4 linked regions of the Struthio camelus genome follow. The protein of the gene in region 3 interacts with the protein of the main gene of each other region in a pairwise test. Links are inferred from orthologs where the notes say so. Each region holds a gene or a part of one and is shown on either strand. Other genes may lie near its edges. The genes, in order: HSPB7, MYOZ1, FLNA and CASR.

The links.
Region 1: the proteins of FLNA (region 3) and HSPB7 interact in binary tests that used the Homo sapiens proteins (3 or more experiments, as listed by UniProt). The two-hybrid records come from large-scale screens. The link is inferred for Struthio camelus from reciprocal best matches to the Homo sapiens genes FLNA and HSPB7.
Region 2: the proteins of FLNA (region 3) and MYOZ1 interact in binary tests that used the Homo sapiens proteins (3 or more experiments, as listed by UniProt). The link is inferred for Struthio camelus from reciprocal best matches to the Homo sapiens genes FLNA and MYOZ1.
Region 4: the proteins of FLNA (region 3) and CASR interact in a two-hybrid assay, tested with the Homo sapiens proteins (2 studies listed by BioGRID). The link is inferred for Struthio camelus from reciprocal best matches to the Homo sapiens genes FLNA and CASR.

Annotation. Positions count from the first base shown.
Region 1 is NC_090962.1:13,660,075-13,667,504, reverse strand, and holds the start of HSPB7 (heat shock protein beta-7), read right to left. Parts: upstream 3,131-7,430; 5' UTR 3,053-3,130; intron 2,202-3,052; 5' UTR 1,895-2,201; intron 1,335-1,894; exon of another isoform or gene 1,150-1,334; 5' UTR 1,135-1,149; coding exon 1,002-1,134; intron 784-1,001; coding exon 650-783; intron 498-649; coding exon 312-497; 3' UTR 1-311. Other genes in the region: chloride channel protein ClC-Kb-like, read left to right, coding at 3,339-3,504, 3,591-3,719, 3,964-4,092, 4,226-4,365, 4,477-4,554, 4,630-4,708, 4,786-4,911, 5,064-5,148 and 9 more.
Region 2 is NC_090948.1:24,694,017-24,701,337, reverse strand, and holds the start of MYOZ1 (myozenin-1), read left to right. Parts: upstream 1-4,163; 5' UTR 4,164-4,381; intron 4,382-6,479; 5' UTR 6,480-6,505; coding exon 6,506-6,581; intron 6,582-7,321. UniProt on the Homo sapiens protein: Myozenins may serve as intracellular binding proteins involved in linking Z-disk proteins such as alpha-actinin, gamma-filamin, TCAP/telethonin, LDB3/ZASP and localizing calcineurin signaling to the sarcomere.
Region 3 is NC_090979.1:219,515-227,534, forward strand, and holds the start of FLNA (filamin-A), read left to right. Parts: upstream 1-4,988; 5' UTR 4,989-5,003; coding exon 5,004-5,388; intron 5,389-8,020. UniProt on the Homo sapiens protein: Promotes orthogonal branching of actin filaments and links actin filaments to membrane glycoproteins. Anchors various transmembrane proteins to the actin cytoskeleton and serves as a scaffold for a wide range of cytoplasmic signaling proteins.
Region 4 is NC_090942.1:91,231,143-91,238,814, reverse strand, and holds the start of CASR (extracellular calcium-sensing receptor), read left to right. Parts: upstream 1-4,655; 5' UTR 4,656-4,886; intron 4,887-7,672. UniProt on the Homo sapiens protein: G-protein-coupled receptor that senses changes in the extracellular concentration of calcium ions and plays a key role in maintaining calcium homeostasis.

The sequences.
Region 1 (7,430 bases), on a different chromosome or scaffold from region 3:
GAAGGGAGCTGCAGGTGTCGGAGAGGGGATGCTGCTGTGCCTCCTGGAGCGGCCTGCCTAGGATGCTGGCTGGTTCTGCCAGGAGCGGAGGCGCGATCCTGTCCTGGGACCTCCTCCCCTGAGCTCACGCAGCTAAATAAATACCCGTGTTAGCCCAAACGCTACCCAAACATCATCTACAAGGGACGGCTGTGCTCCTGCGTCTACATCTAGAGCGATGCCAGGCCAGGGCGGCTCGGGGGAATTAAGCCTTTCTGGTGTGATCCGGCCCGTTTCCCTCCCCAAAATCCCCCGCCGCGCACGCCAGCCGCTCAGATTTTGATCTCAGTCCGGAAGGTCTGCTGGACGTGCTCGGTGTGTTTGGCGGGCTGCCGCCGGGCCCGGATGGTCAGCGTGCCGTCGTCTGCCAGCGAGGAGGACACGGACGTGGGGTCCACGTCATCGGGCAGCTGGCATTTGTGGGTGAAGGTGTTCATGACGGTGCCGTCGCCGGCCAGCTGCAAAGGGAAGGGAAAACAGATTTGAGGCGGATGCCGGTGGGCTGGGGACTTGCCGTTCCTCGTCCTGGGAACAAGCCAGCCCAGGGTCCTGGTTTAGGGGTGGCCCCGGGGCCGGCACGAGGAGGCCAAGGAAGGAGGGGAGCCTTCACCTTCTCGGCGTGCACCTCAATCTGGTTGTTGGAGGTGGTGACGATGATGTCCTCAGGGGCGAAGTCACTGACGTCCACCGTGAACTGGTAGGTGTTGCCCAAGGTCTTGATGTTGCCCGCGCTGCCGGGCCGAGCTGCGGGAGAGGAGAGGCGCTCGAGACCTCCGCGGCGGTTGAGAGCCCGGTCTTTCCGCCTCCCCCCTCTGCTCCCCTACATGCCACGGCACAGGCGGACGCGGTTCGGGAAGCATCGCCCTTTCCCAGGGCCTTTTCCCAGGCTGGCACCCACGTGGCCGGCGCCGCTCTCGTCCCGGCTCCCCCCCTCCCCGCCGCCTCCGCGGAGCCCCGCTTGCCTGGGAAGCCCAGCGGCTCCGTGCGGGGCCGCACGAAGGTCCCGAAAAGCTCCATGGGGCGGGCGGGAGACGGTGACGGGCTCTGATGGAAGCTGCTCTCTGAGCGGAAAGCCGAGGAGGACTTCAAGTTCATCCACCGCCGCAAGCGCTTGTGGGGAAAGCGGGGAGCAAAACAGCGGAGAAAGAGAAGCAAAAGCAGCAAGTGCAACCCCAGAGGTGCTGCCCCGGAAAGCCTCACAATGCCCGGAGGGGAAACACGGCTCCGAGATGCGAACGGGCAAGATTTGCAGACGGAGCCGTTGAGTTCAGAGGCGGCTGCTGAGCTTATAAAGCCCTGTTAGGCTCTCGGCTGCCTTCCAGACCTCTTGTAAAACAGGCTAAATTTAGGTCCTGCTACATCACTCCGGAGAGTGTGGAAATTTTCCTCTCCCCCCCCGCCTCCTCTCCTCCCGATCCCGTCTGCAAACAAGCAGCGAAGGGAGGAATCTGATCCCATTGCTGGCGTTCCTGCCCGCCTGGATAATGCAGCTCCCGGTGGCCCTGGGGACCGGCTTCCCAAAAAAAGGAAGATGGGGAAGAGAGTGCAAGGTGCCGGCAAAGGAAAAAGCTGAGGGATGCGACTTGCTGGGGATGGGGAAGGGGCTGCCGGAGAGGCTGGCAAAGCATTTCCCACACTCGCTTCTCCCTCCTGGTCTGGCTTGGGTTTCAGGGAAGTGTGGGGAGGTTTTGGGGCTGCCCCGGAGGCAGGTTTATCTGGGCAAAAAGTCCAGAGGCTGCAGCCCAGAGGTGGCCGCCTTGCAGGAGGCACGTGTGCGTGGGGCGTTCGCGTGGCTGCTTTGGCTTAGCGGTGCTAAAACCACTGCAAAAACCCTGGAAAAAGGGGTTTTCACTACCTGCACGCAGCAACAGCCGGGATGCAGCAGCAATCGGGGACGGTTTGGTGAGCAGGTTTCACAGGCAGGGTCTCAGACTGGACCGTCTCAGAGCCTGGCTCTTTCACCAGGCCAAACCTCTGCTTGCTGAATCAGTGCTAAATCTCCCACTGACACCTGTGGGATCGGTCCCAAGGGCACATCCCACCCGGGCGATGCCCTCGGCGGGGCCGAAAGGCTCTGGGCAGCCCCTGGATGCTGCCAGGCTCCGGAGCCGCGGCTGCTGCTTGCAGCCCGTCAAGCAACCGTGAAGGTCATGCGAGGTTTACTACAACAACAACAATAATAAAATAAATAAATAAAAGGCATCAAGTGAGTTATTAAAAGTCGGAGGTGTCCTTGCGAGGACACAGGGTGGAGGGCTGGCACGGGTCCAAGCGTGTGGCGCCGGCAGCACCCTTTGTGCGCTCGTGTCGGTGGGGTGAAGGCGAGGGGGGGGAGAAATCCCATAACCCACTAGCCGCCAGGTCCCCGGGGGCTGCTGTTCATCACCTGGCGAAGGTCGCGGCGTCCCCGGCCCCGGGAGCCACGCACGGCCGGGAAAGCGCAGCTGTCGGTCCCTGATGCGGCGCTGGTCGCCCTGCCCACCCGGACTCGATCCCGCGAGGCCGTTTCCCGTCCAGGTGGCGCGGGAACACCGAGTGAGGGGCTGAGATTGCGGGCTGGGAGCGAGGGGCTGAGGTTGCGGGTGGTGCTGGGGGCCGGGGAAGGCAAGCAGCTCGGCTGAGCCAGGCAGGGAGCACACCATGTAAGGCTTTATTCCCCGGGCCGCCGACCTGCCGGGTGGCCCTGCCAAAAAATGCGGCCGACGGGCCAGGCTGCGGCGCGGCGGGCTGGCGCACGGCCCGGCCAGGCGCTGCCCCGGGCAGCCTCTGCCGGCCGGCAGCCGGGCCCCGAAGGCAGGGAGGAGGGATGTCAGGCGAGCTTAAAACCCGATGCTGAGTAATTGCAGCCGGCGCCTGAGTCACCCTTCGCCCGCTGCGGCCCCGTCCCCTCCGCTTCCTGGCCTCCCGCCCCGACGGCTGCCCGTGGATGCTTTTGGGCTGGCTCGCCCAAGCGTCTCGGTGCCGCCGAGGCGAGGAAGGGGCTGTATCCCTCATAAATAAATAACTAACCCACCCCATGGTGATTTCCGTCCCTGGCACCCCTTCGGAGGATGGGGGTGGTGGCTGCCAGCCCATCGCCGCGGCCGGCGCAGGTGAGGAGGGCCGGTGGCACGGGAAAAACCCTCCCCTGCACGCTCCGGCTGGCTCCGGCCCGTGCAGCTCAGGCCGACTCGTCAAGGTCGTTTTTAATGAGTTTGCGGCTCGGGCAGGGCTGGGGTGGGTGCGCAGCAGAGAGCCTGGCAGCGGAGGTGGCTGCAGCCCCGGCAAGGCAAGTCCCGGCCAAGGCGGGGGTTTATAGCATGGGGCACCCGGATATCTGCCCCTCCGCTCCTGCCAAGCCGGGGATGGAGGCCACGGACGGTGACAGCGCAGGGGGGCTGTGGGAGGAAGAGGAGGTGGCAGAGAGGGTGCTGGTGTCGGAGAAAAGCTGGCGGCCCTGCCCCGAAGCCCGGAGGAGGCTCCGAGGTGAGACCCAGCCTGGTGGGTGCCGCAGCCGACGCGGGCGCCCCTGGGGTGCCCTTGGCTGGCTAGTGACCCCCCCTGTCCTGCAGGGTGCCTGGAGCTCGTGCAAAGGCAGCTCTTTCGCGTCGGCGAGGACTGGTACTTCCTCTTCGTCCTGGGCGTCATCATGGCCATGATCAGCTTCATGATGGACTTCATCGTCTCCAGGCTCTACGAGGGTAATGCCGGCCGCCCCGGAGAAGGGTGGTGGGCACTGGACCGGTGCCGTCAGGGTCCCAGCACCCTCAGGGCACCCTGGGCTTGATCCTGGTGGGAAAATGTGGCTGTCTCCCCAGGTTTGGTGGTGGGATGGTGGGGGAAAGGGATGCTGGAGAACCTCCATGGCAGGGCAAGGAGACATCTCCCCCCCCCCCCCCCCCCCCGCGGCTCCTTCCCCTTCCCCTCCCGGCGCGTCTCTTCTAGCTCACCGCTGGCTTTACCAAGAGGTCGGAGACTATTTAGTGCTCAAATACCTCTCGTGGACCATGTACCCGGTGGCCCTGGCAGCCTTCTCCACCGGCTTCTCGCAAAGCATCACGCCGCACTCGGGAGGTGAGCGCCGGCCGCGGCACCTTCTGCTTCACCGGCGCTGGAGCTGCAATGGCTCCCCAAAACAGTGGGGAGATGCTTGGGGGGAGAGGACACTGCAGCCCTCCCATCTGTTGTTTTTTTCTGTTTTCCCCAGGCTCTGGCATCCCCGAGCTCAAGACCATCCTCACGGGGGTCATGCTGGAGGACTACCTGGCCATCAAGAACTTTGGCGCCAAGGTGGTGGGGCTCACCTGCACCCTGGCCTGCGGCAGCACCCTTTTCCTGGGCAAAGTGGTGAGCAGCCGCGCACCGGGCGGCGAACCCGGCTTCGCTCCTGGCCCCGGCCCCTGCCCCACGCTCCGGGGACCTGCCCTGGTGGGGGCCGCTCAGCGCCGTCGTCCCTAGGGTCCCTTCGTCCACCTCTCCGCCATGGTCGCGGTGTACCTGGGCAAGATGCGGACGTCGGTGACCAAGGAGTACGAGGTGAGGCTGCTGGCTCCCCCCCGCCGCTGTCCTGGCCTGAATTTGGGTTATGCCGACCTGCCAACTCCTCCGCAGGACAAGTTCAAGCAGAATGAGATGCTGGTGGCGGCCCAGGCTGTCGGGGTGGCCACGGTTTTCGGGGCGCCCATCAGTGGTGAGAGCGAAGCGCCCCGCGTCCCGTGCTCGGGGTGGCGGCGACGGCACTGACGGGATTTTCTCGCCGGTGGCCAGGGGTGCTCTTCAGCATCGAGGTGATGTCGACCCACTTCGCCGTGCGGGATTACTGGAGGGGCTTTTTCGCCGCCACCTGCGGCGCCTTCATGTTTCGCCTCCTCGCTGTCTTCAACAGCGAGCAAGGTGACCGGGCTGGGGGGGTCGGGAGGAGCGTGGGAACGGCGGTGGTGAGGGTGCGGGAACAGTTGCAGGAGCGTGGGAACGGCGGCCCCGGCCGTGCGCCCATCCCACCGGACGCCTCCAGACCCCCTCCTTGGGCTCCTTCCTCCTGCCAGACACCATCGTCGCCCTCTTTAAGACCGACCTCAAGATCGATTTCCCCTTCGATCTCCCCGAGACCTTCTTCTTCATCGCCCTGGGGTAAGGAGGGCTGGCCGGGCATGGGAAATGCTTGTTTTTGTTGTTTTTCCCCGGGGAGGGGGGTGGCAGGGACGTGCGTTTTCGGGGCCGTTCACCTGCCTCTCTTTTTGGCAGGGGCGTCTGTGGGGTCATCGGCTGCGCCTACCTCTTCTGCCAGCGCTGGCTGCTGGGCTACGTCAAGGAGAACAGGCTCACGGCCAAGCTGCTGGCCACGGAGTAGGCACGGGGGGGGCAAACTGGGCTGGAATGGGCTGGACTGGGCGGCGCGGAGGAGACGCAGCCGTGCGTCCTCTGGCCCCGCAGCAAGCCCGTCTACACGGTGCTGGTGGTCCTCCTGCTCGCCTCCATCACCTTCCCGCCCAGCTTGGGGCAGTTCATGGCATCCAGGGTAAGCCCGGGGATGGCGGCGGCCGGCCAAGGCGGCGGGGCTCGGCCCGTCCCTCCGTCCCTCCAGCCGCCTGTCCGTCCGTCCGTCCCAGCTGACCATGAAGGAGTACCTCGTCTCCCTCTTCGACAACCGCACCTGGGGCGACCTGGCCCGAAACGCCTCGCCGCCCGACGCCGCCGAGCCCCAGCGCCTGTGGCAGGAGTGGTGCCACCCCTCCGTCACCCTCTTCGGCACCTTGGCCTTCTTCCTGCTCATGAAGGTAGCGCCTTGGCCAGCCACGGCGCCCGGGGGCCGCCCCGGCGAGGTGCCTGGGGTCTCCCCGCTCGCCCTTAACTCGTCCCTTCCCCGTCCCCGTCCGCCCAGTTCTGGATGCTGATCCTGGCCACCACCTTGCCGCTGCCCGCCGGCTACTTCATGCCCATCTTCGTGTATGGTGAGCGCACGGCGGGCGGCCCCGCTGCCCGGCAGGGCGCCCGGGTGGCCCCTGGCTCAGCCCCCCGCCGCCACCACCTCCTTGCAGGAGCCGCCGTGGGCCGCTTGGCGGGTGAGACGGTGGCCGCGCTCTTCCCCCGGGGCCTGAGCGCCCAGGGCGGCGTTCACCCCGTCATCCCCGGCGGCTACGCGCTGGCCGGTAGGTAGGAAAAGGAAGGGGGGAAAAAAAGAAAAAAATTGCAAAAAAAAAAAAAAAGTTGCTGGCATCCGTGCAACGAGCCGGCCGGGTCTCTGCGGCAGGGGCGGCGGCGTTCTCAGGCTGCGTCACCCACTCCATCTCCACGGCGCTGCTGGTGTGCGAGGCCACGGGCCACCTGGCCCACGCGCTGCCCGTCACCCTGGCCGTGCTGGTGGCCAACAGCCTGGCCCAGAAGTGGCAGCCCTCCTTCTACGACGGCACCGTCATCGTCAAGCAGCTGCCCTACCTGCCGCCCATCCGCGGCCGCCACTCGGCGTGAGGCTCCCCGACGCCGCCGGCACGGGCGTCTTATTTTATTGCGTTTGTTTTCAGCGGGGTTTGTGCTTCGGGCCTTTTCTGAGCTTTTTTTTTCCCCCGCAGCTCCTACCGGGTGCTCACGGAGACGTTCATGAACCGCCGCGTGCTGTCCCTGGCCAAGGCGGCCGGCTTCGCCGAGGTCCTGGCCGCCGTCACGGCCGCCAGCGATGCCGAGTACCCCGTGGTGGAGAGCACAGGTAGCCTGCGACGGCGGTAGCGGTGGCTCCTGGAGGGTCCCCCCGCCACCCGTCCTCACCTCCGCCTTCGCCCCGCAGCGTCGCCCACGCTGGTGGGCACGGTGCGGCGCGCCGAGCTGGTGGCCTTCCTGCAGCGCTCCGGCGACGAGGTGAGTCGGGCCGGGGGGGAGAGCCCAAAACCCGGGGTGTGGGTTTTTTTTTGTTTGTTTGTTTTTTTCCCCCAGCGTCATCTGGGTGTCATCACGCCCTGGCAGCCCGCAGGCACGGTGGGGGACGACTGCGCCATTGAGCCCATCACGCTCCAGCTCTCGCCCTGGACCTCGCTGCACCAGGTACCGGCTCCGGCAAAAGGGGGAGAGGGGGGAAATGGGACATGTGGTCCCATCCATCCATCCGTCCAGCCATGCACCCATCCGGCCATGCATCTGTCCATCCATGCACCCATCCATCCGTCTGTCCATGCACTCATCCATCCGTGCATCTGTCCATCCATCCATCCATGCACCCATCCATCCATCTGTCCATGCACTCATCCATCCATGCATCTGTCCATCTATGCACCCATCTGTCCATGCACCTGTCTGTCCATCCATCCATGCCCCCATCCATCCACTCACCTGTCCATCTGTCTGCCATGCACCTCTCCATCCATCTGTCCATGCACCCATCTGTCCATGCACCTGTCCATCCTTCCATCCATGCACCTCTC
Region 2 (7,321 bases), on a different chromosome or scaffold from region 3:
TAGTATATGGCATGTGTAAAGAAAAAGGATATTCCCGGGCAGTACAGACCTGTAACTTCAATGGCCACTAGGTGTTGCCACTGTTCTTCTCTGTTATCTGGAGTTTCACCATTCACTTGGTGTGGAGTGAAGTCTGGAGAGTTTAAAACCTTAGGAAATCTTCCCCTCCTAATCTATCCTCTTTCGGCGTTCACATATCGCATTGCTCAGCACCACATTCTGGAGGAGAAAGGCAACTCCATACCGGGGAGTTTTGGCAGTGGGAGGTTTGCAGCAGCTTGGAGGGGATTCCTGGGTGGTGGAGTGTGGGGCATGCAGGCAAAGAGGCCGTCCAGTGAGGAACATGCCTGAGGCACACCAGCTGTTTCAACATCTGCCCCCCCCCAGCTCTGTGATCAAATCCTACACGTTTCTGCCCAAGCCCTACATCTCACTGTGCATTAAGCGCCCTTAGCAGCAGGGGAGAGCCTGGTGTTAACTGTCTACTTCTCCCCTTGTGTCGCTACAACAAATTACTGACAAATCTTCTTCATGTCTTCGTAAAGGTGGAAGAAATTAAAACATATATGAACTATTTCAAAATAATAAAGCCCTTCTAGCATCTTCCCCTCCTTTTTTCTCCCCCTCCCCACTCTCTTCCTGAGGGGGAAAAAAGCCAAAGCAGGAGTTTTGCAACTTTTTTTCAGAACAGATCCAATTGGTGTGGAGATCTGCAGCCTGTGAATACTTTCAGCTTGTGCTAGTCCTGGGCTCCAGGGAAAACAGGGAACAGGGTCAAGGTTTAACTCTGTACCTTTGGAAAATGAAATTATTTGCCAGACTGACTCTGTTTGCCTGATTTTCACGTGATCAAAGAGTGCTCAGGAAACACCCATACTGAGGACTCCCTGTCTTAGCTACTATTTATGTCCACCCAGCACTGTGTGACAAGACAGATCTCATCTGCTGCTCTTAAAATGATTTTGGAAACATCAATTATTTGAAATTGTATATTTTGAATTGAAATTAGGTGCCCTGAGAGTCAGGAAAAAAATTGTGAAAACACAGGTCAGAGAAAGCAAAGCTTTGTGCAGGCTGTTCCTAAGGCCATTTAAGTGAAGGGTATATTTGGAAAGAGGAAGGTTGGCACAGTGAGATAGAGTTCCTTGTATGATTAAACCTCCTCCCTGAAGTGCTGAAATGTCCTGCAGGCAGCACATGTACTATCCTTGCTGACCTAAGTGGGAACTCCATGTACTCAAGCATGGATTGAATTTAGCCCTTAAAATCTCACTAGAGTCCAGGAAGGAAAAAAAAAAAAAAAAGAAAGGGCAGCTCAACAAGCCAGGCTTGTAATGATTTCAAACCCTGAGTAGCATGAGTGGGTGCGATAATAGTAAGAGCCCTCCATTACCTCTTTTCCATGCTGATTTCATCCTACTACAGAAGGCAGAGACATCAAATGGGAACAATATTCCCAGTGGTAAAAGCCATTGAGCTGCTAAGCCTGGCATTGTGGCAGGATATTTATAAATGAAATCAGTCTTTCTCTGCTAGACACACAAGCGACATTTCTAGATTATTGAACTGCACTTTTCTATCTCTCAGGAGAAACCGCCCATAGAGAGGAGAAAGGAGCAGGATTTAGTTCTTAAACAGGCAACTGAAAATGGAGACATCATTTTGTTTGAAGATAGAGAAGGAGGTGAAAGTCTCACCAGGACACCCAGGTCCTTCTCTGCAGAGCTGCTTTCCAGCAGGTCAGCCCCCAGCCTGTCCTGGTGCACAGGGTTATTCCTCCCTAGGTGCAAGACTCTGCACTTGCCTTTGTTGAACTTCATGAGGTTCCTCTCCGCCCAACTCTCCAGCCTGCCCAGGTCTCTCTGCATGGCAGCACAGCCCTTGGGTGTATCAGCCACTCCTCCCAGTTTAGTATCATCAGCAAACTTGCTGAGGGTGCACTCTGTCCCTTCATCCAGACCATCAATGCAGCTCACCCTGTGTATGGATATATGCACATGCAGATAGAAATAACCTCGAGGATCAGGGTTGCAAGGACAGAATGGGATTTCACATAGCACAGAATGAGAGCTACATATCACCTTTCAAATTGGAGCTGGCCACAGTTTCTCCAGGGATCAGAGCCTGACAACAGCCACAGGCACAACAACAACACTGAAAAGCCAGGACAACGGACTGGCCTAGACCTTGTATTTTGCTACTGCAGTTTCTGAGGAATCCAATGACTGGCCTAGGGACCTAAATGCTATCCATCAGCATCTAAGCAATAAAAGTCTCCTCGCTCGATCTTTTCCGCCTCAATCTCCTGTTCCTGAGCTCTGGATAAAGACTTTGCCCTGTGGTCTCTACTCCCAGTTTCTTCTTTCCTCTCCCTGCTCAGCCTGGCTCTTGCTTCCAGTTCCTCACCACCCTGTCCGCCTCTCACTCAAGACCTTGACTTGGCATACAAGGGGAGTACCTCATTAGGAGAGCATCACGGGGTATGAACAGCATCCCAAAGAGCACCACTGGATTTCCAAAGCAGGCACTGGTCACCTTGAGCAAATACCCAGCATGGTCCTCAATCACCCCAAGAGAAATAAATGTGGTGAAAAAATATTCCTTGGCCTGCAGTGAGGAGGATTTGGCCAACACTGAGAGCTTATTCTTCTGTGACCACCTGCACTTGCGCAGAGTGCGTGTGAAGTGCGGACAGATGATCAGCTGCGATGGTATTTGACACCCACCAGTTTTGTGCAGATGTAAATGCCCTCACCAGGCGTGAGGCTCTGTGATGGTGCCCACCGCGGAGAGTAGGTATTTACAGTTCAGTTGTGCCATCCCCCACACCTGTTTTACACTGGCACAGCTCCATGGGGCTACTCCCAGATTACCAGCTTCCAGCAAATTGCTACAGTGGTAGGAAGAGGGGAGAATAAGGGCTATGCCATAGGCACAATGTAATGTATATGCAGTGACCATGTGGATGGAAGCAAGAAGGAAACAGGAAACTTGAGGCCAGGAGATTGCCATACATTCCCTAGCTCCAAGTCACAGGGATAAAAGATGATTATTATCCATAGCTCTCCACCTCCTATCCACAGCTACAGGTTATAGCACTCTTATAAAGGACTATCCAAACAGCACTGGGGGGGTTAATGCCTTGTGATTGCAACGCACCAGTCAGACTGGGAAGTTTTATACTCTGCTGGTGCAGGCAAACACAACTGTGCAAAGTATACGAGAAAGGGAAAGTGACTGTTTCCCGATGATCCTTTATATCAAGTGTACTTGCAAGCCTCTGTGCAGATGATTCTCTGCTACAATCACAGCTTTGTTTTTTTTCCCACTAGACTCTATGTTTACTCAGTAGACAGCTTGGTTGGGCTCTGATGTGAAATAGGAAAGGACATGATTCTCTGTAGGATTCCTGCTGTATGTAGAAGCTTAAAAGTTTGTGCATCTTAGAGTATTTCAGTAAAATGAGTTAACTTTCCTTCCTCCTAGAAGCAGAACCCAGTTTGGTACGGGGAGAAAAACAGGTAGCGTCGCTTCAGAATGAGCAGTGGCTAAAGTAGAGGAATCATTTACACGCACAAAGCTACACTAAATGCAGTCAATCAACCCTATTTCTGCCATGAATCAGGAAATGAGTCTCCTTGCTGCTTGATTCTGTTGGGTTTCTTACCCACATTACACAGCTACTTCCTATAACTCTGTAAATGTGTTTTTCCTACTAGTTCTTGTTTCATGGGTGTGATTATTTTTATTCTGTGCTCTCTGACGTATTTTTTGAATCCCTGGCATTTTAGGAATTAATATGAGAGCTTGGAGGAAGTTGGGTTGAATGATGGAGTGAGGAGGAGGCGGAGGGAGGGTGTAGAAAAGAGCAAGACCTGAGAGAGTTCTTGAGGCATTACTGAGAAATAGGAGATTGAGGAGGTATTACTGAAGTGCAATAGGAGGAGGGAGAGGAACGGCAAGTTGATTGGAACAGAAGGGAAGGAGCAATGCACTTATGCAGAAAAGGGTGCCCAGTCTTCCTGGGAACGGAGGCGGTGACTGCAGGAGGCCTGAGGTGCAACCTTTTCCTCTCCCCTTTCCTCCGGGCTGGTGGTGGTGCTATCTGAGACCCTGCTCTCTGGGCTGTCAGCTATTAATAACTGCAGGATGCCTGTGCGAGCAGCCTTCAGGAGTCAAATTCACAGCACTCCACATCAGCACTTTGCGCCGGGCAGAGCCTGCCTGCACCCCGGCACCCTGGGTGAGCGGGGCTGCTGGACAAGCCTCCCCGCAGCGCCCAAAGGTGGGCTGGGAGGACGCTGCCCACACACTGCCAGCCTGCTGCCGAGCCCTGGGGCAGGCGCGTGAGCTGGTCTGAGCCTGGCACTACAAGCCTAAGGTAAGCTGACCTGGCAGCAAAACAGTTTGGAGCAGGGGCTGAAGAGGGTAAAGATTGGTTTGGTTTGCAGCAAAGCCAACGAAATGACTGCTGCAAAGACTGAAGCAGAAAAAGACAGAGGAATTACACCAAGGGATAGAGCTGATGGGAGAAAAGGGGAATTGTGGTCCTGGTCCTATGCACGAGAGAGTGGGGAGCAAGGGGACTGAGGCTCCAGCAGCCTCGCTGCTGTGGGGTGACAGATCGAACAGCGGTCCAACCGTGGCTCTGAGCCCCATCCATAGTGAAAGGCTGCTGCCCCACTCCTTATGCTAGACTGATTACGTGTGCTCCCTGATCCTGCTGGAGCAGCAAAGGACAGCAGAGCGGGACAAACCCGCCCTCGCTGCTCCTTGGGAATGAGCGTGCTGGAGGGGCACAGCTCCCTAACTGGGCCAGCCCGCCCTGCCTGCCCCAGGGAGTCCATGTCTGGGGGCGCAGACGTTTTCCCTCCATCTGCCACTCTTATGACCCATCAAATGAGCCATAAACTCCCTGAAACTCCTTCCCCCCATGTCTCCTGGCAGCATTGCCCTTTTCCTGTCAAGCAGGGCCTGCTTCTTTTATATAGCCAAGCAGATGTCCGGCTGCTCGAGGAGAATGCATGGCGTGTGCTTTATGGCTGCACCTGCTCACACTTGCTTTGGGAATACACCAGGATGAGCTCTTTTATGATGTGAACCACATAGGCAGCATCTCAATAAAAAATCAAACTTGGAAATCAGAAAGAAAGTCTTATCCAAGAGAATATCTGCCAATGTAATTGGGTCTGGTTTCATCTGGCCAGGCTGCTTTCAGCAGCTGTCACCATCTCTCAAAATCATGTTCTAAAAGGAGCAATGGTGGAAGAAAACTGTAGAATATTTGGAAAATAAAAACGTCTTGATCACAACAAGGGCAGCGTACACAGTCCTAGAGCCAGTTTGCCTGCTAGTTTTAAAAAATAACTCACAGCTAATAACATCTGTTTTGAAGCTCTGAGCAACTAAAGGTGTAAAGAGGCACAGCGACAGAGATGGTTAGTTACTCTCTGCTATTGCTGAACCCAATGGAAGTTTGGTCATTTATTAGGTGAGGATCTGTCTCCTTACATACTGTCATTTGGCAAGGACAGTGCAAAAATGAAGACATCAGCCCGACTTGCATTATGTGTGATAACCCCCAAGAAGGACTACGAGAACCTGCCCGAAGTAAAATTGCTGGGATTTCTCCTAACTTTTCCCAACTTAGCAGTACAGGTCTCTCATCCTACCTGGGGATAGAGATGGGAAACAGTGTAAGAGAAGAAATCTCCCTCTTCCTCTCCTTCTCCCTCCAAAATGACATGCAATAGGATGAATACATAAAATGCAGGTGTAAGTGACTTCAAACAACTTGCACCAACAACTCTAACAGGCCTGTGCCTTCTTCCTCCAGCCCTTTGTAATATATCATCAACAGTCATAAAAGAGAATGACATAGGGTTTTGTTTTTTGCATAACTTGCAGTCTGATAGGTTTCTGAGAAGCAATTCCAGTTCTAACAGAACTATCCAAATATCCAAACCAAGTATGGACATTATTCAAAATGTTCCCACATAGCTCGTGGGCAGACCCAACATCTTTATGTAAGAATATGTATTACTACCTAACGATATCCAAATGGCATTACAATGATGTTAAGTCATGACCGAGGAATTTTTCAAACTGACATTCTGCACTGCAGCACAACATGACAACATAGTACCATCATGGCATACACAGGTGCCGGGAGGCTGCAGTGCTGCAATTATACTGTCTATTCTGGGTGGCAACGCTATGTGGTAGTGAAGCAATGCTTCTTCTGTAATCTGTTACCATATTTTGTGCCTTAACACGAAGTCTCCACAGAGCCCCACAACGGCCTAATGCTGATATTCTGTCTGAGATGATACTGTTTACTAGCTCCTTTATGTGAGAGAGATGGAAAAGAATCTGCATGTGAAATGAAGATCCTGTGTCTCTTAACTGTAGAGGGAAACTAAAAGAGGGGCAAGAGACCTTTCCAGTGTTTCATTCTCCATTTCCTTCTGTGTGTTTAGAGCAAAGCAGAGAACCCTTTGTGGGAATGCCCCTAGCAGGGACTCCTGCTCCTGTTAAAAGAAAAAAGTCCACTAAACTCATTGGGAAGCTGACACACGAAGGTAAGATATGTAAACTGCATATATGAGAACTGTTTGGATTTCAACCTGAATTTCAGCCTTTAAAATCTCACACCCTATCCAGCTGAGCTCCCAGAGAAAGGTATGCAGTGAACACACCAGGAGGCAGGGCCACCATTGCAAAAGCTCAGCCTCTAACGACATCATATGTCATAATTTTCTTTTCAAAAGTGTTGCATACACACTCAAGTCAAATTCTAGTCTGGATTACACTTTCTAAACCCACTGTCTCCTGTGGCATTAATCTGGATGCATACCAGTGTGAATGGAAAGATAATACGATAATTTATAGATATCAATATTGCTGCGTCTAGTTATGCTCTGTGCTGATCTTTTCTCTCATCACCTTTGTCCTTCATTTGGTTTTCCTCTGTGTGAGAGCATTCCTTTGATTCCAGCACTCACTAGTGGGAAAAGTCAAATTTTCTCAGTGGGGCTAATACAGCAGGAGGGATGTAACATGGGACCCTTTTCCTTCTACAGAGTACATGCATATAGGGTGAGCTTTAATCAGCCGTGACAGCCTCATCTTCTCCCTTTGACAGCATGGCACATACTTGCAGCAATTTTGAACAGTAACAATTCAGTGCTGTCACTTTCTTCAGTGCCCCAAAAGGGCTGTAGAAACTTCTTTATTAGCGTATATGTCACTAAATCCTGTATTCAAGTAAACAAGCAAGTTAAAATTGAATAATCAGTAAAAGAGCATTTCCTCCTGTACT
Region 3 (8,020 bases):
CGCGCCCCCCCCCCGGCTGCCGTGTCTCCGGGTGCCCCCCGAGGGACGCCCCCGGCCCCCCGTCGCTCGTCCGGGGGACCCAGGCGTCCGGGCGTGCTCCCGCCCTGCCCGCGGTCCCAGGCGTCCGGGCGGTTTCCGGGGCTCCCCACCCTGTTGGGGTTTATCACTTCCCCCTCGGCGGCGGGGTGGGGACGCGGCGCCTTCGACGCCCCGGCCCGGGGACCCAGGCGTCCGGGTCGGCGTCCCCTGCCCGCCCCGAGCGGGGCGCGGGCCCAGGCGTCCGGGCTCCGCTTCGCCCCCGCCGGAGACCCCCCTGCACCCCGACTGCTTTCTCTGGGGACCCAGGCGTCTGGGTGCCCCCCCCCCAACTCTGCCCGTGGCGGTGAGGAGGGACCCAGGCGTCCGGACTCCCCACCCCCACCCGGGCAGGGGACCCAGGCGTCCGGGCTGGTATTTCTCAATGACGTTCCAGCGCCCCCCCCACCCCGGATTCCTTCGGGGCTGAGATCATCGGGGCTGGGGCCGGCCCGGTCCCCAACCCCCCTGGGGCCCTAATGCCCCCCCCGGACGCCTGGGTCCCTCCTAAACCACCCCCAAATCCCATTTCCCCCCGGATCGCACCCGGGGGTGGGGGTACTCGTGAGCGAGGCTGCTACACGCGTGTGTGCGTGAAGAACAAGCAGGTGCAGCCTTGAGCACGCGTGTTCACATGTGTTGGTTGCACAGGGCCTGATGCAGGCAGGTAACAGGTTTGGGTTTGCACGCCCGGGAGTGACACGGATCCCGGGGTGGGGGTGTAACATGCGTGTTTGCACACCCGGGAGCGACACGGATCCCGGGGCCGGGGTGTAGCGTGTGCATGGCCACGCGTGTGAGCGGCCCGTGGCCATGGCGGGGGCAGCCGCGTGGTGCCGTGTGCGTGAGGAGCACACGCGTGTGCGAGGGCGCTGGAGTGAGCACGCACACGCGTGCATGTTGACACCGGTGCAAGGATGCACACGCGCGTGCGAGGGCTCGCGGCGCCGCAAACGAACCGCCACGGAGACCTGGTAACGAGCCCCCCCGCTAACGAGCCCCCGGCGCTATCGGGGCCCTCGGCCGGAGGAGCCGTTTCCGCCGCTGCCTCGTTTCCTGAGGGCCGGGGGGGCCCTGCCCCACAGCGCCCCATAGCCGCCTGCCTGCCCTCTGGCCGCCCTGCTGCCCCACAGCGCCTCGCGGGGCCTGTTCTGCCCCTTAGGTTGCTCCCCTGCCCCATAGCCCCCCTCCCACTCCATAGCTGTTCCCCTGGGGTCCCCCCATGCCCCATAGCACCCCACAGGCCTTCAGCTGCCCCATAGGGCCCGCTCAGCCCCCCTCCTGCCCCATAGCATCCCCCGTCACCCTCTCCTGCCCCATAGCCCCCTGTGGGATCCCCTCCTGCCCTGTCCTGCCCCAGGGGAGCCCTGCTGCCCTATAGAGCCCCATAGCATCGCCCCCATCACGCTGCAGCCCCCCTAGCCCCCTTCTGCCCCATAGTGCCCCATAGCCCTCTTCCGCTCCATATCACCCCATAGCTGTGTCCTGCCCCACAGCCCTGCCATATACCCTACCTGCCCCATAGCATCCCCCATGGCCCCTTGCTGCCCTACAGCCCCTCCATAACCCCCACCTGCCCCACAGCTCTTCTCTTGCCCCATAGCAGCCCCATAGCCCCCTCCTGCCCCATATAATCCCCATAGTGCCTTCCTGCCCCATAGCATCCCCCATAGCTGCCCTTCTGCCCCAAAGCTGCCCCATAGCCCCCTTCTGTCCTGCATCCCCCCCAGCAACCTCCAGCCCCATAGCAGCCCCATAGCCCTCTCTTGCCCCATAGTACCCCCATAGTGCCCTGCTGCCCCATAGCATCCCCATAGCCCCCTACCTGCCCGATAGTAACCCCAAATCCCCTTCCTGCCCCATATAATCCCCTATAGGCCCCTCCTGCCCCATAGCCTCCCCACTGTCCCCCTCCTGCCCCACCGCCCCTCCTGCCCCACAGCATCCTCACAGTCCCTCTTGCCCCCCCCCCCCGCTGTCCCCACGGCCCCTCCTGCCCCACGGCCCTCCCGCCCCACAGCCCCCCCCCCGCCGCCCCCGGCCCCTCTCCCCCCGCCGCCCCCCCGCGGCCGGGGCGGGGCTCCGCGCGCCCGTTACCAATTAAGGCGCCGCGCGCGCCGCGCGCCCCCCCGGCAACCGCCACCCGCGCGCGGCGGCCGCGCTCCGCCACAGCCGCCGCCGCCGCTCCCCCGGCTCCGGCTCCCCCCGCCCTCCCGCTCCGGCTCCGGCACCGGCTCCGGCTCCGGCTCCGGCTCCGGCGGCTTCACCTCCGCGGGCGGCAGCGGCGCCCGGTCCGGTGAGCGCGGGGCTGCGGGCTGGGGGGGCTGCGGCGGCGCTGGGGACCCCCGTCTTTGGGGTGCCCGGGGGGGGGACCCCGTTGGGGGGGTGTCGTGAGGGGATCTTCCCCGGGGGGGGTCTGGGGACCCCTTTTGGGGAGGGTGTCATTGGGGGGGACCCTTATTGGGGGGTGTTGTGAGGAGATTTTCTCCTCGGGGGGGTCTGGGGACCCCTTTTGGGGGGGTGTCATTGGGGGGGACCCATTTCGGGGGGTGTTGTGAGGGGATTTTCTCCTCGGGAGGGTCTGGGGACCCCCTTTGTGGGGGTGTCATTGGGGGGGACCCTTATTGGGGGTGTCCTGAGGGGATTTTCTCCTCGGGGGGGGTCTGGGGACCCTCCTGGGGGGGTGCTGTGAGGGGATTTTCCCCGGGGGGGGTCTGGGGACCCTCCTGGGGCCCCCGTCTTTGGGGGTGCAGTGGGGAGGACCCACACTTGAGGGGCTGGGGACCCCCCCGGGGGTCTGGGACCCCCCAGGAGCGCTCGTTTTGGGGGTGCCGTGGGGGGGGGGGATACCCTGGTCTGGGCAGCGGCTGCGTCTAGAGCCCTGCTGGGGCGTGAGGGGGCACGATGGGGTGCGGCGAGGGGGCTGCGGGGCAGTTTGGGGAGCCCCCCGCCGCAGGGGTGACGGGGCCGAGGGGGACGGTTTTCAGTGTGACGGAGCAGTTAGGGTGTGACGGGGGATGGCTGTCAGCGTGCTGGGGGTGTGACAGGGGTGGCTCCTGGTGTGATGGAGCGTGTTAGGGTGTGACGGGGAGGACTGTCAGTGTGGTGGGGGTGTGACGGGGTGGCTCCTGGTGTGATGGAGCGTGTTAGAGTGTGACGGGATGGCTGTCAGTGTGGTGGGGGTGTGACAGGGGTGGCTCCTGGTGTGATGGAGCGTGTTAGGGTGTGACGGGGAGGACTGTCAGTGTGGTGGGGGTGTGACAGGGGTGGCACCTGGTGTGATGGAGCATGTTAGGGTGTGACGGGGAGGACTGTCAGTGTGGTGGGGGTGTGACAGGGGTGGCTCCTGGTGTGATGGAGCGTGTTAGGGTGTGACGGGGATGGCTGTCAGTGTGGTGGGGGTGTGACAGGGGTGGCTCCTGGTGTGATGGAGCGTGTTAGGGTGTGACGGGGGATGGCTGTCAGTGTGGTGGGGGTGTGACAGGGGTGGCTCCTGGTGTGATGGAGCGTGTTAGGGTGTGACGGGGGATGGCTGTCAGCGTGGTGGGGGTGTGACAGGGGTGGCTCCTGGTGTGATGGAGCATGTTAGAGTGTGACGGGGATGGCTGTCAGTGTGGTGGGGGTGTGACAGGGGTGGCTCCTGGTGTGATGGAGCGTGTTAGGGTGTGACGGGGGATGGCTGTCAGTGTGGTGGGGGTGTGACAGGGGTGGCTCCTGGTGTGATGGAGCGTGTTAGGGTGTGACGGGATGGCTGTCAGTGTGGTGGGGGTGTGACAGGGGCGGCTCCCGGTGTGAAGGAGCGTGTTAGGGTGTGAGGAGGAAGGTTGTCAGTGTGGTGGGGGTGTGACAGGGGTGGCTCCTGGTGTGACGGAGCGTGTTAGGGTGTGACGGGATGGCTGTCAGTGTGGTGGGGGTGTGACAGGGGTGGCTCCTGGTGTGATGGAGTGTGTTAGGGTGTGACGGGATGGCTGTCAGTGTGGTGGGGGTGTGACAGGGGTGGCTCCTGGTGTGATGGAGCGTGTTAGGGTGTGACGGGGGATGGCTGTCAGTGTGGTGGGGGTGTGACAGGGACGGCTCCTGGTGTGACGGAGCGTGTTAGGGTGTGACGGGGATGGCTGTCAGTGTGGTGGGGGTGTGACAGGGACGGCTCCTGGTGTGACGCAGCATGTTAGGGTGTGATGATGCAGTTTTTGGCTTGACGGGGTGTGACGGGGGCGGCTCCCGGTGTGACAGGGCAATTCCTGGCATGACGGGGTGTGACGGGGATAGCTCCTGGTGTGATGCAGCATGTGAGGGTGTGATGGGGGCGGTTCCTGGTGTGACGGGGTGTGATGGGGCGGTTCCTGGCTTGATGGGGTGTGACGGGACAGCTCCTGGTGTGACGGGGCGTGTTAGGGTGTGACGGGGCAGCGTCAAGGTGTGACGGAGGAGCGCTAAGGAGGCTCTGAGGACGCGTGTGGGGCTGGGAGGGTCCGAGGCGTTCGGGGCGCCCCCATGCCGGGGGGCGTGACCCCCCACCCCCCACGGGGCACCGTCCCGCCGGGGTGACTCAGCGCGAGGACCCAGGCGTCCGGGCTGTGGGGGAAGGGATCCCACCCCCCCTCGCGGTTTTGGGCCTGACTCAGCATCCGTCTGGCGCTTCCCCGGACACCCGAGGCCTCGGCACCGCCGGGGCTGGGGGGTGTGCAGGGGGGTCCCCAAATGGGGGGGCATCGGGGAGGGTCCCAACCGGGGAGCGCGGGGGGGCCCAGACTGGGGGGGGGGCGTCGAGGCGGGTGGGGGCTGGCGGGGTGCCCCCGGGGCCCCTCGCTCACTCCCTCCCCGTTCCCCCCAGGTCGGCGGCCCCTTTAAGCCGCCGCCCCCCCCTCGGCGCGCAGGCGCGGCAGCCGCGGGGGGCGTCGCCCCCCCGCCCCCGCCCCCTTAAAGCCATGAGCGCGGCGGGGCGCGCGCGCGCGGAGGAGGCGGTGTCACGCGCGGACGGGTCGCGCGCGGAGCCAAACCGCGCGGCGGCGGACGGCGAGATGCCGGCCACCGAGAAGGACCTGGCGGAGGACGCGCCCTGGAAGCGGATCCAGCAGAACACCTTCACCCGCTGGTGCAACGAGCACCTCAAGTGCGTGCACAAGCGCGTGGGCAACCTGCAGACCGACCTGGGCGACGGGCTGCGCCTCATCGCCCTGCTGGAGGTGCTCAGCCAGAAGAAGATGGGCCGCAAGTACAACGCGCGGCCCACCTTCCGCCAGATGCAGCTGGAGAACGTCTCCGTGGCCCTCGAGTTCCTCGAGCGGGAGAACATCAAGCTGGTCTCCATCGGTGAGGCCGCGGGGGACCCCCGGGACCCCCCAGCGGGACGCGGTTGGGACCGGTGCACCCCAATGCCTGCACTGATAAGGGGGGGCCCATAAGACCTGCCCCAGTGAGATCTCCTTTCGGGAGAACCCCCCAGTGGGGGCCTATGTGAGACCCCCCTTCCCCTTTCGGGAGCCGCCCCCCTGTGGCAGCCCCCTTCCCCTCATGCCCCCCCTTTTGGGAGCGTTTCTCCCTTCTCTGGGAGCCCCCACTTGAGATCCCCCCCGATAGGGCCCCGTGCGAGACCTGCCTCCTGAGTCCCCCCTCTTGAGGCCCCCTTTAGGATCCCGCCTTTGGCACCCCCCCCTTTGGGAGCCCCCTCCACGGGCCCCCTCTGGGCCCATCCCTGCCCCTGTTTGGGTGCCCCCTGAATGGGCCTCGCTTTGGGCTCCCCCCTTAGAGACCCCCAGGACCCTCTGTTTGACCTCCCCAGTAGCCCCCCTTCTGGCTCCCCCCTTAACAGGGACCCCCGCCCGCCCCCCTCCCCCGCACCGGGCCCTCTCCCCGGCCCCCCTCGGCCCCATAACAAAGGCGGGGAGGGGGGGCTGGGCCCGCTCCCATCCCAGGAATGTGGGGGGGGGGGTGCCGCTCGGACGCCTGGGTCCCTCAGTCCTGCTGGGGGGGGTGGGGCCCTGGCAGAGGGGTTCCCGGACGCCTCGGTCCTTCGGCCCTTTTCGCGGGGCCGAGGGAGATGTGGGGCTCGGGTGGGGGGTCGGGGGTCCCCGGACGCCTGGGTCCCTCGGCCCTGCGGTTCCCCACATCCTGCGCCCAGAGGAAGGCTGAGATTTGTGGGCGGCTCCGGGGCCCCACCCTGCCCGGGGGGGCAGCGGGGCCCTAGACACCCCCCCGGGGCCCAAACATCCCCCCGGGGCCCACATTCCTCTGGGTGGGGCTGGGGGTTACTCACCCCCCGTGACTCATCCCGGCCTCGATGCCAGGAAACGGCGGGGGGGGGAACTGTCGGGCCCTATGGGTGCGGGGGGGGGGGCGGGCTGTGGGGCTGCAAGGCTGCTTGTGGACTCTAGGGGAGCCCTATAGGGCTGCGGGGGACCTTGTGGGCTGCAGGGGGGCCCTATGGCTGCAGGGGGGCCCTGGAGGGCTGCAGGGGAGCCCTATGGGGCTGCAGGGCTCCCTTATAGGTGCAGGGGGGCCCTGTGGGGTGCAGGGGGCCTTGTCAGGCTGCAGGGTGCAGAGAAGTCGCTATAGGGCTGTGGGGGGGCCTATAGGATGCAGGGGCATCTCTGCAGGGCTGTGGGGGCTGCTCTGCAGGCTCCATAAGGCCATGGGGGTCCCTATAGAGCCATAGGGTGCAGGGGGAAGAGGGGGCCTCTGCAGGACCCTATGGGGTGCAGGAGAGCCCTATAGGGTGCAGGGGGCCCTATAGGAGGGTGCAGGAGAATGTGTATAGGACTGTATGAGGGCTGTGGGATGCCGAGTGTCCCGGGGGGTCTCTATAGGGCCATGGGGTGCAGAGGGGTCTCTGTAGGGCTGTGAGGTGCCCCTATAGGGCCATGGGGTGCAGAGGGGTCCCTATAAGGCTATAAGATGCAGAGAGATCCCTATAGGGCTGTGGGGGGGGGTCTCTATAGGGCTGTGGGGTGCAGAGAGGTCCCTATGGGGCTATGGGATGCAGAGAAGTCTCTATAGGGCTGTGAGGTGCAGAGGGGTCCCTATAGGGCTGTGGGGGGTCTCTATAGGGCTGTGAGATGCAGAGAGGTCCCTATAGGGCTGGGGGGGGGGGTCTCTATAGGGCTGCGAGATGCAGAGAGGTCCCTATAGGGCTGTGGGGGATCTCTATAGGGCTGTGGGATGCAGAGAGGTCCCTATAGGGCTGTGGGGGGTCTCTATAGGGCTGAGATGCAGAGAGGTCCCTATAGGGCTATAAGATGCAGATAGGTCCCTACAGGGCTGCAGGGGGTCCCTATAGGGCCGTGGGGCGCTGGGGTGTCTGTAGGGCTGGGGGGGCGGGGGGTCCCCGGGGGTCCCGAGTGGGGCGGGGGGCGGGGGCGGGGCCGCCGGGCGGGGGCGGGGCCGTGGGGCGGGGGCGGGGCCTCGCTGGCGCCCGAGCCCATATAAGGCCAAAAAATGCTGGAGCGTCGGGCGGGGCCGGGGGGCGGGGCTGGGGCCACCGTGGGGAGGGGCGGCCCGGGGCTGCCTGCTCGACCCCGCCCCCTCCCCGCCCCCCGCCGCTTTTGGAGGGGGGCGGCGGTGTCCACTCCCCCTCCCCCTGCCCAGCACCTCCCACCCCCCCTCCCACGGGGGAGGGGACCCAGGCGTCCGGGCTGCCTCCCCCCAACCCCCTGCCGGGGCCCCAGGCGTTCCCCCCCCCACACACACACACTCCCCGTCCTGTCCCCCTCCCTGCTGCCCTGTGTGTCCCCGTCCCCCTCTGCCGCTGCGCTGTGTCCCCAAGCCCGCCTGGCTGAGGCCACTGTGTGTCTGTGTCCCTGCACCCGTGGTGGTGCCACCGTGTCCCCAGCAATGCCGTGTCCCTGTTCTGCGTCCCCACACCCTGTGCCCGTGGTGGCACCGTGTCCCCAGCGATGCCGTGTCCCTGGTTTGCGTCCCCGCACCCTGCGTCCTGACAGGGCCATGT
Region 4 (7,672 bases), on a different chromosome or scaffold from region 3:
TAGACAGTGATATAGCCACATTTACACAGCCAAAGAATGTCAGCTTCACACCTCAGTAATAACCCTCTCTGTAACATTTCCTTCACAGCCTAAGAGCTCAAGTTTTCTCTGAATCCCAATTAAAGCTCTAAACAGGCCAAAAGTGAGGAACGTTCTGAGGTAGAGGAAGCAGGGAACGTGCCTTGCCTTTGGTACTCAGCTTATCCTATAGAAAAAAAACTCAGTCTTCCAGGTTGTCAGTCTTCAGGGTGCTATCCTCAAACTATCAGTCTAGCTTTTTTTTATTAGCACTAAAGAATAGTTGAAGAAGTTGAGTTAGATGTCATTGTTTTTCCTATCATACTTCCGTGAACTTGTGCAACAGAAAAAAGAACAGAGAGTCTGTGTTCAGTCTTTATCTGCATAATTCTCTTCAGTGCACCAGATTCTGGTAACAAGGCTCAGCCATAGGTAACCAGGCTGAAATCTGGGATCCAGCTTCCCAGGCAACTCACTCAAGCCAGTTATATCCACATCCTCCAGAGCATGCCTCTGAACTGCATCCTCAGCAACCTTTGTACGGATGAACTTCAAGCTCTCTCGTTATCCCATATGACTTTGCACTTTGCCCTCTAGCCTTCACCTCTTGTTCCTACCCCGTCTTCTTCCTCAAACAGATACACACCCTCCATAAGGGACACAGATAAGCTGGAAGAGGCCAACATTCAGGAGCAGCAAGCCTGCCCTTGTGCCACTTCACCCTCCTGGCTAGGACCAGGTGAATCAGGCAGCTCTGCAAACCCTATTGGAAGGCTGCTTGTTTCCTGCACTCGGGAGCTGCAAGACTTCTGGTTGTGAGCTCACCTACATATTTGTCCAGATCTTGCTAGTCAGAGATAAAGTTGTATCTGTCCTCTTAACCCTCTGCAGAGTTTCCAGAAGAATATGCTTCTGTGGCTCCATTTTTGGGATTGCTTTGCCCTCCACACCTAGTGTAACCAACAGTGGAGGAACAAAATGTCCATATGCAAAGAGCAGCCTTCAATGCTCTGCCTTAAAAGCTGACGCTCTGTTCACATCAACACATGACCTCACTGCTCCCAAAGCCTGTGGGAGACTCCATCACCCCAAGACATCTGCACATCCTCAACTCTGGCTACTCAGTAGGAAATCAGCTTATAGTGTAGAAAGTTGTCCTCAGAGCCAATGTACTAAGGCTGTGCAACACCATCTGACACAGATGCTGTCCCTGGCTGGGGGCCATCAGAGGTATCATCAAAAGAATCAGCAGCTGAGCTTAACTTGTCCAGCTGTGCCCAAAAGGGCAGTTTATGAGACCTTATTTGCCACAATGCTGGGCAATAAGATGCACTACATGAATAAATCAGCACCTAGGTACAGCTCACTACACATGCCACTCCATTCCAAAATCACCTCCAGCAGTCCTCCCCAGCAGTTGCCCATCTCTCTTCCAACCACTTTTTGCCTCTGAGTTGCTAACATGCCTGGGAAACCAGTGACATACACCTGGGAAGCAGACTACCCCTGCAATCAAACAAAACCCTTATACGAGGGAAGTAGCTGTTTCTGGTGGTCCCTCTGTCCTTCTGAGTTCTCTCCTTCTTCTGTGAAAGACTCCTTGTTGCTCCCTGAAGAATCTCCCCACTGACACCAAAGTGTCTTTCCACCACAAGGGACCTGCTGCAACTTGACAGAATTGCTGACCAAGGACATAGCACAAGCAGAGCCTGGAGGAAAGCGTACCATAAATATCAGCAGGTTTAACAAAGGAAAATATTTGCTCGACCAGGTAAAGACGATCATGATCATGGCCCAAAACCAGACAAGGCAAGTATGACACATAAAACAACAGGCTGATCCCTGTGAGCACTGAGCAGTGACAACATGGCAGCAGTGCCAGTTCAGCTAGTGAGTACTGTCCTGCACCAGAACATATCAACAAAGAGAATCTAAATGAGTGAGAGCTCTTGGCCTTTAAATACAACACCAACATAGAAATGCAGATAGGCTGGTCATTCTCTTTGATCAACGAAAGAGCTCCTGCTTGTGTCTCAAGCCATATAAATGGAGACTGAGGACATGCTGGACAACACCATTTGAATCTCCCATGATACTGATGCTGAAAGATGTGACAGTTTAGGTATTCTGATACCTGTTCTGATGCCATCAAGGCATTCAGACAAGGGATTGCTTGGTTTTCTGGGACATTTTGCAGGTAAACCTGTGGACTCTCTTTCCCTCTTCACTGAGACCCTACCTTCATCTGACCCAATGCCATGGGATCTTTCTCTGTGTAGGGAGAGAGAGACTTCATACCGTGATAGGGGCAGCAGCACATGTCGGCCCTGGGAGAACTGGTCCCCTGTCCTCCTTCCCATACAACTCTTAAGCCTGGAATCTCTGACCCCATACATCCCTCCCGCAGTCCCCTCCCAGGTATCACACATCCTCAATGACTTCAGCATGGGTCAGGTGTGGCAGAGGCGCCCCCAGCGGTTCTCCGATCCCATCCCTGTGAGGGCTTGCTTTGCCCCCCCCCCATCCTCCATAGGAGGTTGCTTGGACATTTAAGAGACTTCTGCCTTTTCTTGGCCTGGCAGTCTCAAGAGAAGTCTCGGCAGCTGCAGGTGGCAGCTCTTGCATTGGCTGAGATCTAAAGTCAAAGCTTCCTCAAGAGCTGTCTGCTTTTAGGTCCTGACATTGTGTCACAGGAACTCACAGTGGGGTTTCCAGAAAATCTTGGTCTGAGGCTGTCTGTCCACCAGCTCTTTAAACTCTCAGTCTTCTGGGTTTCGCAGTTCACTGTGGAAATCCTTCATAGTCTAGCATCGAGCTTGCAACCAAACTGTCCATAACTAGGAACAAACTGCCTTGAACAAGGCCTGTGCCATTTGTATGCATACTTTGCACAGGTTCAGGCCCTACTCCAGGCATAACTTCATCCCCAGAGAGCATCAGGGAAAAAGCAAGGGTCTTAGGCAGTAAGGCTGATGGGGAGGCCTAGGTATGAGTTCAAGTTTTGGCCATATCTACAGTCAGATGTTTTCTTAAAACAACCACCTTTCCCTTCCCCTTCAGTTTCTACAAACCAGACAAAACCCTTAAAAGAGTTTATTCCTCTTGCCATGCTATGGCATCATCCTAAAAAACTTGAGTCCACCTCACAAAGAAACCTCTATGGTTTCTCAAAACAAGAGTTTATTTTGATGTGGGATTCTAAATGTTAATTCTACACTATTCACTGCTACAGGGAAGCACTGGGTCTGCTTGGGCCCCAATAGTGAATTCTCTGAATTTGTAAACCTTTTTTCTGGAAACATCTTCAATGAAGGATGGCTAAGAACTAAGGAGGATATTCATTCAGCTTTGCAGTCAGTTATTCTCTCTGTCTGGAAAGTATTTGTGGTCAATTCAGTTTGATTATGCAATTATACCATAATAACTATCATAAGGATGATGATTTAGTTCTTGAAAAATATTGTACTGCAAAAGAAGTGAAAAAATTAACACAATTATTTATGAAAATTAACTACATTCCAGTTCACCAAAGGCTTTTTGAGGGCTTAGGTGACTTTAAGTCCATTGGCAGCTCTGCAGTATGCGGACTAGTCATGTACTAAAGTAAGGACTTGTGAATCTCTTTCAGAATAAACAGTCTCTGTCATCTCTCCAGGGTGAAAAATAAAATACACTTTTAATATATTTTAAGTGTTACTCTCACCAGTACATTGCAACTCCAGCAACATTGTGGTTTTGCTATTGTTTTGGGAAAACAAAAACTAAACTATCAGGACAGATCCAGACCACTAGGTTTGGGCTGCAAAATGGTACCAGAGCCAGAATCTGAGTCTAGAGCTATGTCTATCTTTTTTTCCTAAAAAGCATATTATAAGGTTAAGAGATTTCAAACAAAAACTGTAAAATGATCCAATGGTAAAATGGTCCCGTCTCTGGACATGAAAAATAGTGTAATGTTAGCACTAGTAAATAACAACGCAAAAAATACCTCTTTCTCTGCATTTCAATTCTTAGGATGCAAATAAACTGTCGGTGTGGGTGAATATAGCAAATCTGAAGCTGAATGTATACACACAACCGTGCAGCAGTTCAACTGTGCAGACAGAGCTGAGGATTTTCTGCTCCAGGGATTGGGTTCAGGTAACAGGGAGGGATAGGAAACAGCTGGAGTTTTTCACTGTGAAATGAAACAAGACCCCATTTTTCCCTTCTGGAAAATGGAGCTAATGATACTTCCCTTCCCCACAGGGATGCCCTACTGCAGGGTTAGGAACTCAGCTGCCCGCTCGTCGGGCGCCGTTGCAAGGGGATTGCAGGAGCCATGTAGCGCACGCACAGCGGCGCGCACCCCAGAGCCGTACGCGGGACACTCACGTTTTGGGAAGCGCGGCGTAGCCCGGCTGCCAAAACGTGTCTGCAGACGCGCGGAGGTATCTGGTCTCGCTACCCTTCCCCAGCGGCGCGCGCGATGCCCTGAGCGGGACGCCGTGCCCGGCAGCAGCCGGGGCGCGGGCCGCTCCCGCGCCCGCAGCGCGGGGCTGCCCCGGCGGCGGCGGCGGCGGCAGCGCGGAGCTGCGCGGTGCGCGCCCGGGCGGGTCCCCGCGGGCGCCGCCGCCCCCGCCCCGCCTGCGCGGCCCGTGGGAGCCGGCCCGGGTGCCGGAGGCGGCGGCCAGGGCTGGGACGGGGCCCTGGCCAGGGGTTTCTCTCTCCCCCCCATCCCCTCCTCCCCTCGCCGCCGGTTCCCGTGAGGCTGCAAGTGCGGCGGCGGCAGCTGGGGGGCCGGCGGGGGATGCTGCCGCCGCCCTGCCCAGAGCCGGAGTGAGGGCAGGAGCTGGCGGCGGCAGGAGCAGCCCCAGCGGCGGGACGAGGTGAGCGGGGCGCGGGCCCGCGGGCAGGTGGGTGCGCGCCCGGGAAAGGGCCGGGGCGGGCAGCGCAGCCCCCGGGGCCAGCCCGCCCGGGCTGGGGGCGCGGGGGCAGCCAGCGTCCGCGCCGGCAGGAGAGAGCCCGCAGAGCAGCGCCGGGCTCGGCTTTGGGGGCGCAGAGACCTGGAGGAGCGGCGAGGCGAGGCGGGCTAGGGGGCAAGGCGAGGGTGAGCCAGGGGCATTTCAGGCTGAGCCCAGCCGGCCGTGCCAAATGCAGACGTAATTGCACGGAGGGACCCCTCCGCCTCCCCTCCCCAAATCTGGGGCAGGCGGGCTTCTGGTACATGTCGGATCAGACCAAAAGGAGAAATTTCCGTACGGCTCAGAGGTATTTTCTCTGGCTGAAGTTATCTAGAAATAATATTGAGGCGAAGAACAGTTAATCATAACAAAACTTTAAAGAGCAAGAGGTTGTTTGACTGAAATCACACGTGCTGAAAAAAGAAATCTCCTCAAACAGCCCGATAGAAAACAGCTAATAACAGTATCCTACATGCCCGTTTATAAGGGGTGACAGTCTTGTTTTGGGAGCTCCTGACACTCCTCAAAACAAATGTCACCGCAACTCTGAAGAGATGGTGTAAAAACTAACGAATCTTTCCTTAAGAGCTTCGCTTGCATTTCAGGTACAGGATATGATCTTTAGAATTACTTTGCTATGTTTCATCTTTTGAAGTGTCTCCCCCTTTTCTGATGTTTTTACAACTTGAAACGGACGGTCCATTATACACAGACCTGCTGCTCACTCTCGGGCTCTGCCCTCTAGACCAGCCTGTGTGCCTTACTGTGCAGCTCCCTGCTTGAACACCCGGGAGTGGATTCAGTGGGGTAGGAGCAATAATGAGCCAGTAGCCCTACATCTCCCAGCGATGCCCAGATGATGCTCCTGTTCAGTGATGTAAATTGGGGGCAGAGTGTCTTTGCAGCTGCATTTTTCCCTCATTTCCCCTTTGTGGGTAGTGTCTCTATGACAGTCAGGACTTTGTTGCCTCCTACTGGAGTTTCACCACCTGGTGTAAATGTAAAGAGGATGAGCTGGGAGGGGCAAGGTCAGGGGAGTATCGAGGCGTTGCTAAAGGCTAATTCCCAGGCAGTGTAGCGTCCCTCCAAGTGTTTATGCTAATTATGGAAATTAGAGCCCTTCCTTCCTATTCTTGATTTAGGCTGGGAAGGGGCAACCATGGACTCTTTTCCCTTTCTGTCCCACCCCTCTCACCTAACCAAGCAGCAGAACTACCTCCTTTTCTTAATGAGAAGGGCAAGCTCCAGCCCTGAGGACAAGATCCAGTCCTGTTCCCAGTGAATTCACCGGGATTTGGTCATTGACCTCAGTATTGTGAAGTCTGGGTCCGTACACCTCTTCTAATTGTGAAAGTGGGAAAAATATGATTAGGGTAATTTTTAGCAGTATTTTTGCTGAGGTTTTACTGAGGCTTACTGAGTGGTGGTGAAAGGAGCTGATGGCTGTTCAGATGAAACACTATTTCAATAACTAGTTGATATGTAATTAATATGATTAAAGTTGTTGAAAAGCAAATAGATTAGGGCAGGTTGGTGGCAAGAAGACATACAGAGCATCCTCTAAGTTCTCTCTTTCATTCTAGGGCATGACATGGCTGATGTTTGGGGTCATCTATAAAATTATTAGGGTGGTCCCAACTCAGTGCCCACGTGTGCACAGGATCTTATCACAGTATTAGACACCAAACCATCCTGCCCATAATCTCTCGGAGAGGCTGATAAATGAATAGGGTGGCATCCAGGCAAAATTCTGATATCGTTCTCAAAGTAGCAAGAGAGAAATTGTTAGAGCAGGGTGCACAGTTACCTTCCATGCTAAAACTTACAGCTCAGTGGAAGAATTCAGAATCCAAGTCTGTCAGTCTGACACTCTTTGCACCATTCTCAAACCTCAGTACTTTATTGATACTTGACTGATTTGTTAGAATTATCTTCTGAAATACAAGCAAAAATGTGAAGTGAGACAGTAGGGGTTTTCTGAGAAAATGACAGAGTAGGTTGCTTTCGAGTAAGCTCCCCTTCCATCTGCATGTGTCCTGTTGGCTGCAAACAACCCCTTCTGCATAAGCTGATAGTCACTTTCTCAGTCACTTATTAACTGCAAGAGCGAGGAATGCTTTACCTGCACTCATTTGTGCCAAGGATTGTAAGAACATTATTGACACTCCAATAGATTGAGGAAGGCATTGACAAAGGTGGTAGCTTTAGTACTAAAATCTTCTCTCCTAATGTATCGGGGCTAATTCTTGGTTGGCTGAGAAAGTTAGGATAACTGAATTGTTCAACCTGTGAAATATGAGAGACTGTAATCTCTTCAGGTATATGTGAAATGTAAGTGAAAGAGTGAATGCAACATGATCTAGCAACTTAATTCACAAGACGACAATTCCAGAACCTGCTCTGGGCTTGGACACTGACCTTGGACAAACCATTTCCTTCCAGTTTCCTGTTTCAAAAGTGAGGATAAGGACAGTACTTCACAGAGTCTTGTTAGAAATGTCTTGTTTAGAGACAGGGGTTCCTAAAGCACATTGGAATTTCCATGCAAAATAGTCTGTACAATTGTAAAGTATTGTTACCATAAGGGGACAAGCAAAGCAGAGGGGTTCAGAGCTTTCTGATCCTTCTTCCCACCGTTATCGAGGAGGGTTCAATTGACTGCTGTGGTGCATAGGGACCAATGACCCCTTCTCCATTCTGCAGTTTTCAGG